Drosophila melanogaster: one gene and its partner. The protein of the gene in region 2 interacts with the protein of the main gene of each other region in a biochemical or structural test. Each region holds a gene or a part of one and is shown on either strand. Other genes may lie near its edges.

The links. Proteins that work in one complex are often made in the same cells at the same time.
Region 1: the proteins of dpr10 (region 2) and DIP-beta form a complex in vitro, tested with the Drosophila melanogaster proteins (one study listed by BioGRID).

The regions. Positions count from the first base shown.
Region 1 is NC_004354.4:21,453,320-21,460,408, reverse strand, and holds the start of DIP-beta (Dpr-interacting protein beta), read left to right. Parts: upstream 1-2,670; 5' UTR 2,671-2,858; exon of another isoform or gene 2,859-2,943; intron 2,944-7,089.
Region 2 is NT_037436.4:10,181,648-10,188,674, reverse strand, and holds the start of dpr10 (defective proboscis extension response 10), read left to right. Parts: upstream 1-2,566; 5' UTR 2,567-2,750; intron 2,751-6,144; exon of another isoform or gene 6,145-6,159; 5' UTR 6,160-6,392; coding exon 6,393-6,432; intron 6,433-7,027.

The DNA.
Region 1 (7,089 bases), on a different chromosome or scaffold from region 2:
TGAAAAATGCCAAACTTTACATATCTGTCGGAAACAACGTTGCAACCTTTCCGACATTGTCTTTAACAGCCGCACAATAAAAGATGTAAATTTTTTAAAAATCTTGGGGATAACCTTCGACTCCAAACTACTTTTTAAACAGCACTGTCAGACTCTAAGAAAACAACTGGAAACTAGATTTAACATTATTAAATTTCTATCATCTAAATATTCTTACATACATATTAAGACTCTCATAGATATTACGCGCGCTTTAATGCTATCTAAAATTGACTACGGACTGCCAATCTTCGGTTGGTGTGCTAAATCACACTTAAAAAAGCTACAAGTCCCATATCACGGAGCGGTCCGTCGCGCCATTCACGCATTTCCCACATCTCCAGTAGCGTGCACATTGGCAGAATCGGGTCTCCCGAGTATCCAATCACGCGTAGAAGAAACTACATTGATGCTTATCCCGAAGCTGTACACCACGTCAAACTGCCTGCTAACCAAAGACTTCGGAGCCATATTTAAACAAAAACGGAAATTCAAGTGCATATCCACCCTAAGACGTTGCGCCAACTACATCAAGCTACTTGACCTTCCCCTGCCTAAGCCCAGGAGGCCCTTCAAATCGCCAGCACTTTGGGGTTCCAAACAGCCTAACATAAACCTTCAAATATACAATGCTGCCAAAAAGGATACAGGTCGCCTAGAATACCAAAAACGTTTTATGAGCGCACAAGAAGATCTTGGTGTGAAAAACTGGATCTACACCGATGGTTCTAAAGTCACCGGCGCAACTACTTTTGCGGTCGTTGACTCTAACCGTAAAATAATTGCAGGAGGTAGGCTTCCGTCCTACAACTCCATATTTACAGCCGAAGCTTTCGCCATTCTCAAAGCATGCCAATTCGCTTCCAAAAACGCTGGAAAATCTGTTATCTGCACAGACAGCCTCTCCTCTCTTTCCGCTATACGCAACTGGAACCATAATGACCCCACAACACAAGAAGTTAGGCACATTCTAAGTTCTCACCCAAAAAAAATCACCTTACTCTGGGTTCCCAGTCATCAAGGTATTCATGGGAATGAACTTGCTGACAAAGCCGCCCAAGAGATGAGGCTTACACCATCAATCCTGTTCACTCCGTTTAACTCCAAGGACCTAAAAAGTCGAATCAAGTTATACCTCAAAGAAAGGAAACTCTCCGAATGGGCACTCTTCATGCACAGGTACCAGTCTATCAATCCGAATTGCATCATGTTCAAGCCACCAACGAACGTACATAAACGGGAATGCGCGACCTTTATCCGTCTACGCATCGGGCACACCCAATCCACACATCAACACTTACTGACGAGATCGGCGCGACCAACATGCCAACTATGCGGGGACGAGCTCACCGTTGACCATATTCTCAACGCCTGCAGTCAATTGCACTCAATTAGATCTCACTTATTTGGTACACATAGTCTCTCGAATTGTTTAAGTATCCCATCCTGTGAAAATATCTCAAAAATTTACAAATTTGTCCAAAAAGCTAAGTTTATTATATAAAGCAATTAACCCATAAGTCTCGAGTCGAAGGCCCCCGTAGCTAGTACTCATTAAATTTAATTAGGTTTAGTATTGTATACTATATTTAATTTTGTTAAATAAATAAATAAAATAAGATGATGTGCTCAAAACAAGTTTTGTTACCTAACCTAGCTAAGAAACAATGCAATCTGGAGTCGTTGACAAGTATGTATGTAACAGAAGCAGAAGGAAGTGTATAAAAACTAGTGACTAGTCTTACAAGTTATCTTCAAACGTTATAGTTACAGTTGTCGTTAATGTCTAGCTAAAATGTTCCTATTTTTTCAACAACAAAAACTGCCTTAATCGAACTATTGCAACCTATGTAAAGTAAATTAAGTAAAAGTTAAGTCTATTGAGACTTCTGCTTGCTTCCACCTTTCCATCTCCCTTGCACAGTCCTTAGGTGATTAATAAATATCCGATAGTCGCATTCATTAAAATCTTTTTTTGGAAATTTAATTAATATGTTTTAAAAAGTGATCAAGCAAAATAAAGATATATTTTCTAACGTTCGATTTATTTTCAATATGCTTTCGTCTTTCTTTGACTTTTCCTAATTTTTTGCACAAGGTAAGGCTTAAAATATCGTCAAAAGTCGGCTGATATAAATTCTATATGTATTCCAAAACAGCTAACAATGTTATATCCCATTTGAAAAATGATGAAAGCGAACAACCGAAAAACTAGCTCTTGGTAAAACATACAGCCTTTTATATTTCAGCAATTGGTTTCTGTATAACTTTAACTCGTTTTTCTTTTCTTTTAGAATGTTTTTCAACCAATAATAATCAACTGGGCAAAACTAACCACTTATGCAGATCTCTGCGTTTTAAGTTAAGGCAATTGCTCTAGTAAATTTACCAGCTTCTAAATGTTGCTGGCAACATGTTGCCAGAGGACAAGCACTGACGCCTTCGTCCGCCACACGAGCTCGTCCTTCGGAAGCATTTCGGCTGGCCTCGGGATGGCAGGCACGGGACACGGGACTCCACAGTGCCAGGACATCGGAAGTCGGGAAATTGGGAAATCGGGATGGCCGTGCTGCCGAAGGACGAGCACATTGCGCTGGGTCGGCCCAATGCGAAACGCGCTTGGTGCGACAGGTTCAGTGCTCGGGCAACTTCCTAGCGCGTCGGTTCAGTTCAGTCCAGTGGATTCGAGACACGAAAGGACTCAGTTTCAAACTAAAAATTCCAAAGTTTCGAAAACGGGTTTCGAGTGGCGCGAAACAACAACGATACAATGATACAATTACTCTAGCTGAAAGTCGAGAGAAGAGTTTTTGACAAGTGTTAGTTGATTATTTTCAAGTTTTTTTTTAGTGTTGGCCAGTGCTTTGGACTAGTTTCGAAGCTTTGCTTGTTTTTTCGAACAAGGTAATTCTAAGACCCAAAAATTCAAAAGTTTTTCGCGAAGCATACGATGTGAGCTGTGACTGCGTATTTAGAAATTACTACACTAGTGAGGTGAAGCCAATCCCTCGTTTAGTCCTTTACTCCATTGCCCGTCGATCGCTGCCTAAATCATTTCACATACGCTTGTTCACTCATTTGTCAATTGCATTATCGGTGGTATGTTAGCATTCCCTTTCTTTTCTCAGCCTTTCAACCAATTGTTACACCAATCGAGTTGTTTTCTTGCGAATTCTCTCGACTGTTCATGAGTGAATTCCTTTTCAGTTCATTGAATTTCTATGTCCTTTCCGTTTTCTAACATTAACTTTCTTTGTTTGCATTTATGTGAGTCACTCGTCACTCGTTGGAATCCTTTATTCTCGTTTCTTGTTTTCAGTAAATAAAACAGTTGATTTGCCAAGTTGCAAATTAACTTTTGCCAGTTTTTTTTCCCAAAAACAACTATCTTTATACCTTCGTGTGGGGAAAATGTAGTCACCTTTTATGGTCAAAATCATATCGTACATTTTGTCGCATACTAACGATTTGATAAATTGTTTAACATAATTATAAAACTGTCAGCTTGTGTTCTTTTCGTTTTTAATTGTTTGTAATTATATATTTTATATAATATGATAGCATACATTACACATTGCAAAAATTAAGTAAGGTTTTCAATATCTTTTTTAGTGGTTTGTAAGACGATCCGAATTCAATTTTATTTTAAATCCGGTATCCATGTATTGCTTTGAACCCTTTTTGTGTTTCTGATTTCCTTCAAGAACTTTCACCCACCTGAACTTTAAAACCCCATTCAATCTCTCGCTCATCCCTCGCCATCCGCCACCAGTTTGGCACATTCTTGAGGTACCTTTTCTGGAAGACTCCTCCGAAACTTTTTGCCATCGAACAAAAGGCGCCAAAATGAGACTGCAGCATCCAACTAGCAGGCCAAGTTTTTAGTTGGCAATGATTTATGTTTTATTAATATTAAAAGTGATTTATTAGCCATGAAATTTGTGAGCCAACTTGGTCGTTGGCCCTTATTCGACCAGGTGAAGGGAGTGCTGGCTGCATGCGCGATTTTTTAATTACAGATGGAGTGGGACAGGGAGTACTGTCCAGCTGCAGGCTCCATTATCCTTAAGCGCGGACCTGGCCGCTCATTATCCCGACGTCCGAACTTAAGCTAAACTGCTGCACAGCGAGATTAAAATTGTAAATGACAGCCAGCGTGACAGGACAAGGAAGGAGCAGGCATCTGCTCGTCCTTTAATGTCCTGCGCCGTCCAGCCACGCCCCTCTGCGCCCCTCTGCGACCCTGTTCGCAACCATCCGCTCCCCACCCACCAGCCGTCGCATTTTGTCGTGTTTTTAATGAAAATTAATTAATTAAATAACGTTTTTACTCATTCGCATCGCCTTGCCCAGCAATTGTCTTCCCTTGTGCGCAGGTGTGCGTGTGAGGATGCATTTTATATTAAATAATGAAGTGTGTAAAATGTATGCAGTGGCACACAAAAAGAGCAAAGAGGCAAATGAAAGGGCTTTATGCGGCAAATGTAAATTTGGACCTTTTTGGGCACAGGAAATCTCAAGCTTCAAAGTGCACAGAGAAAATTGTAAACGCAATTTTCCAAAATCTTTATTAATGGTTTTTTTTTGGGAAACTTTACTTTGGGAACGTAATTAATTTTATTATTGGTCTCGAATAATCAAAATTTATGTGCAACATTTTGTCATTATATTTGGGAACCCTTTTTGCAAAATGTATACAATGCATACTTCCGAAATACCTAATTTTTTTTGTTTGCCTGTCGAGAAATTCCCCGAAACTTCCCAAAGCCATTGCCAAATTTTGGCATCTCGGTCAACACAAAAAAAGTCATGCACTTCAGTTAGCATTAATTTGAAATTTGACTGAGACTCATCTCGATTCCATCTGGTTAACCGGAACCAAGGCAAGAAGCTTCGCGACTCCTTGTCCGCCGTGTCTAGTGGTTAATCAACTAATATCTTATAAAATCCGAATGGAATCCATCCGAATTCATAATAGAAAAGGGATCTTTGGTTTTGTGCTGCGTCTGGGAGATTGGAAATATTTCTCGATCTTTGTACTGAGCACAGAGGAATTGTGTGCGAGTTCTGCGCCTATGGAACTATTTGTATTGGTCTGAACTGACCCTGAACTGGCTCACATTGGAACCGAAATATATGATGATCTCCAAATTTAATTATCAGAAATGAATTTGAAACACTTCCACATATAAACTCAGTTACTTAGAGTAAACGTAGTCACTTAAAAGAACCTGAGTACTTAATTATAAATTTAAAAAAGGTTTTAAAATATTATTTTTCTAATTATCTTGCAAGCCCCTACAGAACGCCAAAGACATTTTTGCTTGGCGCCCATAAGCCTAGAACCTGTCTGCTTTTCAGATTCAGGCTTTAAATCTTGTTGAAGGTGGAGGGGAATATTTCATTATCACTATCCATTCACATGCCAAAAATTGTTTGCATCCACTCATTACAATGTTACCGTCAAAATAATGTATGCCACATCCTCCATTTACCTAGCCCTTAGGGGTATAATTAAAAATGAGTTCTAATTGAAACTGTAGTTTGCCCTCATAATACATTTACTTTTCAAGCTACTTTGTCTCCGATTCTGACGAACCTTTTGAGACTTTAAAAGGATATTTAAATGTCGGCTTATTGGGTCTAAGCGAAACAAGTTATGTACATATGAATAGATAAGTAGGTAGGTTATGTAACCAAACAATCGAAGCCCAGTGATAACAATAAATTCGAGTAAAATTTACTGCGACACTCCAAGTCGGATGCACTCTGCATTGTGTCCGGAATTGCGAAGCTCCGATTTCCATGTCGAAAGGAGCAAACTGACTGACGACGGGCTGCCTAGGGCATTTAATCGGCGCTATTTGGAAATAGGATATGTCCGAGCCATCCGAGTGCTGACTGATGATGCGGGCATCAAAGTGCAACAGAAGGGAACATGAATTTTGGGAAAAGTGACTGTTCATGTTACCTGCAATTAGTTGGCAGGCGTTCAAATCAAATCTACATTAAATTATGGAATCATATTTCCCAAAATTTTGGTTTCAGAACCCCCTCTTTTTGATTCAAAATGAAATTTCGAACAATAATTATTATGGGGAAAATCGGCAACAAAAGACATTGTCGAACAAAGGACGACAATGGCCACCGCGAACCGAAAATTAAACGAAATTTCGCAAGCATTATTTTCTGGTCCAGACCCGGTTCCGCTGCCCAATTCGCCCCGAATCCTGTTGGAAATAACCCCATTCGCTTGTTTCATTTTTTTTTTTCTGTTTTTGTTTTTGTTTTCCGGCGAAGGCAAACGCAGCAGAGAATGGCTCCTGCATATAATGCAAAATGTCAGCGAATAAATCAGGCTGCGATACATATTTAACCCCAAGATTGATCGAGACCCCACTGAAGATATATGTATGTTTGGTGGAGTGAAGGAAAAAAGTTCTTAAAGCAGCTTGATTTCCGTTTTTGTGTGCTAATAAATGACGTGTCACAGAGAAGCGGAAACAAACACAATTAAAAACGCATCAGTGGCGAATGGTTACACATGTGAGAGTTGGCGCTAGGGCAGCAAATGGTTAAGGACGAGGTTTGGATGGCCAACAAAGCAAACCACAACCAACCAGCACTTGCACATTAACAAAAGGCAAACAACGGCGGCAGCAGCAACATAATAAAAGAAATATTTTCCATACATTAAAAGAAAATTGCACAAACAATTGAGAGGAAATGCCGGAGCGCGACGGTTTCAGTTGCTTTAAGTGAAAAAAAAAATAAAATAATAATGCCACTGCAACAAAACCGAGAAATGGCAATGGCAAAAGCTTTTCCCCAACAGACCACGCTGCGAATGCGTAATGTAGTTGAGCAGGAACAGAATGCATAGAAAAGCGAGGGCAATTTGACAACAGAAATTAGCCAGCAAGACAACAGGTAAATAGCAAAGGGAGTTGGTGGAGAAGCCAAGAAGGGGGCAAATGCATTCTGGGAAATACAAAAAAAAAACTATAGCTGTTGCAGGAAAATTGAAAAGATCAACTGCGCACGTACAAT
Region 2 (7,027 bases):
AGAGAGGGCCGAGCAAAACTCATTTACACTTTTGCCTGCTGTTGCCCATGGCAAAAAGCACAAATAAGTAAAATATGAGCAAAAAAAAAAATATGTACACAATTTTTGCAAAACGAAAATTCTTGAGCTTAAAATTTGCATTTGTTATTACTTCGTCGGTTTGCAGTGGCAATTGTTGAATATGCAACAATGCCCCAGAACAGAACCTCTATTCCCCGCCATCACCCTACCTCTTCGAGCGCAATAACTCGGTTAGCAGATTTAATTCCAAGCCAGATTCTGATTGTATTACAATGTGGGCGGCAGCACGCCCCTGCCATTTGAAAGTGGAGGAGAACAGAAATATACGTAGAACATTTTCATAAATCATAAAATTTTTGCTTGGCAAATGAACTGAATTTGCCCCAAGTTGTTGAGCTAGGGTAAATGTTTTGTAGGTTGCCAAATGTGTGGAGATCTGGGCGGAAATTAAAGTAAATTGAAACTACTTTGCCAATCAGTTGTAAAATAAAGATTTGCTTTCACCGAACTTCATTAATCATTTTAGAACTATTTTTAAGTGCTTTTAAGAGCCAAGAACTGAAGCTAGAAATACTAGGAAATATCTTCCACTTTTTCGTTTTACATTTTTATCCTAATTTCTGAAGTGCATTTTTTATTCGTCGAGTTGGAGTTAAGCAAATTCCTGCAACAATATTTTCTGTGCTACCAAATTGGAAACTTTTGGTTTTTTGCCTTTTCGCAAAGTTTCTAATACCGAGCAAGTAGCGAATGCCGCTCATCAGACTGCTGCCACGCCCCCCGGAATCCCCGACGCCCACTTAACCCCACAGTGACCCAGACTTTTAAACACCTCTGACAATATGTGCAGAAAGTTGATAACTGGAGAAATGTTCTGCGCTCGAGTTGGTTAGGAGTTGTGGTAAACTTTACCGAGATGGACTCACAGCGGGTGGTGGATGCTGAATGGCAGCATGAGGTGGCCAAGGTCAGCGGAATGTCGGGCCATAATCGGCTTGTTTAATTAGCTCACTAAGCCCCACCTGGATGGGCATTATGTGGCTGTCGGAATAAGATGCTCTGATTGAAAGTGCCGCGTGGCTTGCCACAAAAGCGACAACTAATTGCCACATAATCAACAACAGCACAGCAGCACAAGCAGCCGCAAAAACAAGGGACAACTAAAGCCCAAGGCCGCAGGCGAGGTTTTTGGCTGGTTCTAGGCATGTGGGGTGGTGGTGCGGGTGTCACACAACTGAGTGGGTGGATTTTGAACACTTGCGCTTTTTACCAACTCAATTTACGCTAATTACTGCCTTTCGCTCCAGCGATAACTGCTGTCAGCTGGCTTGCACCCCGCCACTTTTCCCGGATTTTCATCATCCCGATACCGCATTCCCTTCAAAGAGCGGGAAATCCCTTAGCCGGCTACACAGTTTCCCATCTGCCACGCATATCCATACGCCGCGCGAATTTATATTGTCATTAGCTCTTTTTGTGCCAGCTTCAGTGTATATTATTGAAATCCCTGCCTTCTGGCCATATTATCCAATTCGCTGTTAAATCGTGGAAGAGCTAGTCTAAGAGCACCAAAGAATTGTTCAGTGCATGCGCACTCTTTGCCAAATTCCATACAATTTCTCTTTGATACTGACCTAAGTCTGTCAGTCTTGCTCAAGATATTGTCCAAGGCAGACGGTTTGCTTCCCTTATAGAGACGAAGTACCTAAATATAAATAAATGAGAACGTAGCATGCACAAAGCGTATATAATAATGATAATTTAATATTAAATTATCTAAAATAAATGAATATGTTCTTGGGAAAAATATTATAACTTTTCTCATTTATTAAAATTGAACTTAGGATCTTATGGAAGTATATGAAATAACATAGTTTCCTAAATTCAGTTAAGTAAGCATATAAGCAAGTAAAAAATAAATGGGATCAATAAGACATTATGTTGTTTTTGGGTTTTGCTATAGTGATTATGTTCTTTTTATGATCCTTCACTCCCTCAACCGGATTAATTCTTTTTATTTCAAGTTTCAACTAAAATGGCTTAGATTATTTTTTTTTAAGAGACCTATAATAAAGCACTCTAGCTGAAACATAAACTGAAATATTACTCTGCTTTTAAGAACTGGAATCCCTACGTGTCACTTAACTTCACTGCATTAAAATTAACTTAACCCCTTAAAAACAGGATCGTAAAGTCCGCTTTTATTTGCTTTGCGAACATAATTCGACCTCAAAAAACACCCTGCTGCCACTAAAAAAATAATCGCGGATTTCCAAAACTATTTGAAACCTTTTATTGTAAGACCTTGAAAGTGAACATAGTGTTGTGATTAAAAGAGAAGAGGAAATTAAGAGAGATAAATGCGGCGAATTCAGCTGAAATGCTCGGCACACGATTTTTCCGTCCCTCTTTTCCAACGACTTTTCCCGAGCCGAAGACAACAAACCCGAAGCGTCGCTGATAAAGGCTCGTATGAGTTCGGGAATCCCCCCCGGAGGCCCCAACAAATGCTCCACTGCTGCCAGAAATCAGTTTCAGTTTCTGTTTCAGTTTCAGCGCGACATCGACGGTGAACGAAAGGCGAAGGCGCGGAAAAGCGCGTGAAAATCCGAATAAAAAGTTGAGGGAAATGTGAGGCCCAAATACGTGAGGCGCGACATTTTCCGGACTATAGTGTATGTGTGTGTGTGTGCATGTGCGTGTGTTTCTGTGACTCGAGGCTAGAGAGTGTGAGTGCAAACGGATAAGAAAAGCGGGCACAATTGGGTCGTAAATTTTGGAAAACGTGTGAAAACGCAGGAAAAGCCTCATTGCCCCATTGCCGGCAGTCGAAAATTGAATGACCTTTTGTCGCTTTTTTTTTGTTATTCCAGTTACTGTTACTGCTGTTGCTGCTATTGCTCTTATTGTTAAGCTAAAACGCTTTCGGCACGCGAATATTTTACGACATCGTCTCCAAAAATTATACACCTAAAAAAGAAAAGTAATCAGAAATCTAACGAAATTCGGTGCGTGTCAGCTGCTTGCCAAATGTGGGGCCAGAAAAAATGCAGGAAAAGAATTCTGTCTGCGGACAAACAAATTATAAAAGTGTTAAACGCCCACACAACGTCCTCCAGCCCCGCCCCTTGGCCATCTCATTAGCATGCAGCAAATTAAGTTGTTTTATATTTAGACCGCCAAAGGGGAGCCCAGACCCCAAATACAAATTAACAAATTAAAACAACACACAAATGCCAAACAAAAAACAGAACCAAACCATCTTTGATCTGCGTCAAAACAAAAAAAGCGCTGCCACAAATATCGAGCGTTAATACATTCATTTCTGTGTAATCTAATATTCCGGCCGAGGGGAGACACTAAAAGAATGTGACAAAAATTAATAGAAAACCCATAAAATATTAACGGAAAACAAGTGTGCATTGAAATTTACGACAGACTGATCACAGTGCGTATGCGCAATGTGCGTCGCCGCAAGAACCGAAATATATCTCTCGTATGGGTATGATAAGATGTTGTGGCTGTTGGGGAAAATTAAGTTTCCTTGGGAAAAAACTTTCGCTTGTCTCAACTGCAGTTGTTGATGGAAAAGTTTTGTCGAGTGCCAAGCACTTTGGCTTTTCAACGATTTTACTTTTGCCCGCCCCAGCACCATTGTGTTGTGGTATCAACTTTTGAGGCCACGAGCTTATGTGCAATCCTTGCCTGACATCCCCAAACACAATTAAATTGTTTCCTTTCTTTGTTCTCGCACATAATGCCATGTAGCCAATAAAATGTGAAACCCTTTCTCAATAAAATATTCATACAGCAGGAATTAACCGGCACACAATGGGGCAGAAACAAAAGCAAAGATTGCCCACGGGCATTGGGTGGGTGTGGGTAGGGCAAATTAAGCCCACCCGGAACTAGAGTTGCCTCCTAATCACAGTTACTAAACATTAGAGCAGACACTGCCCCCAAGCTGAGAGGCAAAATGCAGACGCTTACAATTAGAAAGAGTGGCAAGAGGACTCTCAGAAAGAGAGGGGGGATAGTGGCAACGAAGGAGATGGGAATAGTAGCAATTGAGTGCGTTAACACTTTTGAGAGACATTGCTGACGTTGGCAGGAGTCTCAGACTCCGTCCCTGAATCCCGAATCCTTCCCTCGAGAACCTGGCCCTCCTGGTTCGCACATTCTGGAACCCCTGGCCCCTCCCTAATTCCATTACGGAGGCAACAGTGACAAGTGGCCAAGGATTCCAGCCAGGATTCCCAACAGGAGCAGCATGTCAGCAGCAGCCACTTCTGATTGAAGTCGCACACAGAGGTTTCTGCAGGCAAAAAAATTAGAGATCAGGGATCAGATCCTTTTTAAGGATTTGCTTTAAAACTATATATTTTTTAAAATATATACATGAGATATCGTATAAGCTGCTTAGCAATATTGCATTAAAATGTATATTTTATATCAATGATTTATGATGGCAAGAGTTTGTGCATTGATGATTCATAAATTTTTTATTGTTTGAAGTTCTTTTTTGAAGTCCTTTTATAATATTTGTTTATTTTTAATCAATAAATCTAAATAATTGTTATACAAAATCTTATTCAATTGTTTCCATTATACATAATTAGTTTCCATTGTTTCATGCGAAAATCTTTCCATTGTTTCACTGTACCGGCTGATTAATTTTTTCTCAGCATGTCGAATGAGTCCTGCAGTTGAACTCAGACCTTAATCCCATCCCCCTACTCATTAGTCTGTCTGTCGTCTCTTTGGTGCAGCGGAGTTTGCAATTAATTAAGTTTTAATTAATTTCACACAGTGCAAGAGGGAAAAATTCGAAAGGAAAACACACACCGTGTTTCAAGGGGCGTGTGAAAAAGGCAATTCCCCAGCAAATGTTTAACAAATTAGATGTGAGGAGAAGTGCCCGAGTAGCATAAAAGTTTTTCCCCTGGGCAGGGCAATTGATTGATGCCAAAGTGAATGGATGGATGGCAGCAGGTCTGAAAATAGCCTCAGCCGGAAAATGGGGCGTTACTGCTTTGAACAGTTCTCCAAAAACGACTCATAATTTTGGGGTCGTGGGGGCGTTGAATTATTTTCGGATCCGGACACATGCCACCGAAGTTTTAGGAAATGAAATATGCAAGGGCAGCTGACCAGAGACACTTCAATCCAACTTCTGTCAAAAATTGATTCTGGTTTATGCATTAACCATTATTAATTGTATGATGTGAGCATGTCCTTCAAGGGAAACTGGATTGGGCGTGTAATGTTCTTCTAATTTGTGGTGTAAACTTTTGTGCGCTCATGGAGAGGGAAAAGGATTCCATTTTAGGCCACTCACCTATTGAAATCAATAGTGGATTGCTTAGAGAAAGAGCTGTTTTATTGGTTAGCAGAATTTCTAGAATCTCTTCGAGAAAATCCTTGTTTTTACCATAGTTTATTATCCATTAAAGTCTGTTATTATCCATTATCAGCCCTAAAATCAACACAAATTTAATCAATTCATGTTCCACGACATCAAGGGTGATGCGACGAAAAAAAAAAAACAACGAGACCCGGACAAATGAAATTCCTTTTAAAGCTCTTTAGCCCCAGACGAAAATCAATTCTTTTTGGGTACGTTCCAGGCGGAATGAAAATAAAAAGTTGTCCATGGAAATGCGAAACGAGTCGGGCAACAAAAAATATTATTTCGGCCTAGGACGAGCCAAAAGAGCAAACACAAGTGCAACTGCAATTGCAACAAGCAGCAGCAACAACAGCGGCAGCAGCAACAAGGACGAAAAACAACAAGGACGATTCTGAAAAAGTTCAACAAACGAACGTTAAAGGATTAAATTGTCTGCCATTGATATTAAGTGTTTTAAATGTCATTGCAAGTGTTTAATTCACGCGAAACGAAAAGAGAAAATTGAAAACAGGCGCAATTGCAGAGAGAAAAATTTGCATACAAAGCTACAGTCTTAATTTATATTTATTGCGCTGTGTAGAACTATCTTTTATAACGTTTTTTAATTTTACAAAAATTGAAGATAATTTTTGTAGGAATAGCAATCTTCAACCTTTTTTGTAATAATTGTAATAAAAGCTAATAACGCAAGCATGTTTTAAAGCGACTTATAGTTTTTCTCTCTGTAGATGAAGCTAATAGAAAGGAAGACTTAAAAAAGTGTTGTGAGTGAAAAAAACGAGTTCAAAACAAACATATATTGCCGTAGATCAAAACTCGCAAAGCCAAGTGCGAATTGATAGGACAAAGGCAAGCCTGATAAAGTGAAAGAAAAAAGAATCGAAGGAGAATTTGAAGCAGAGTGCAAAGGTTGTTGCTGCAGCCCTAAAAAATAACCACAAATCGAGTGGGTCATCGCAAGATGTTGACCCTGTGGACGGCACTTTTCTGCTGCCTGACGGGTAAGTCAAATTCCCCACAGGATCCTGCCAGCACACACAACTCATCCCATAAAGCGCAGTCTGCTTAAGCATGCATAAGATTATCAGCAATATATATACCTATTATATACATATACAATATAGGCCTCCATCAACCCGCTCAAGGTTGTTATTGTTGCCGCCTCGCCGGGCGCTGAATCCTTTTAAAAACATTTGTGGTTCGGGCTGCGAAAATCCTGATTTATGTTTCTGCCTGCTGCGTTGTCCTTGCAATCCTGTGCTGCTGTTCTGACATGGCCACTGCCAACCGCAGCAGGAGCAGTGAAAGCGATGGGTACACGCAGAGGAAAGTCTAGTACTGAACTGATCAAATAATAACTTTTTAATAACTTACTATTAATTCTTAACTACAACCATATATTTTTAATATTATTAATTGATAACACTTCTTTTGAACTGAAATAGGCACATACAGTTTTGATCTTTTAAGAAATACTTAAATAGTTGTGACAAAAACAAACATTATAAATATTTCGATGTATATGTATATAAAATATATTTCAATTTCGGATAAAATTAAGCTTATATTTTTCTCAGTGTAAAATTGAGAGACCAA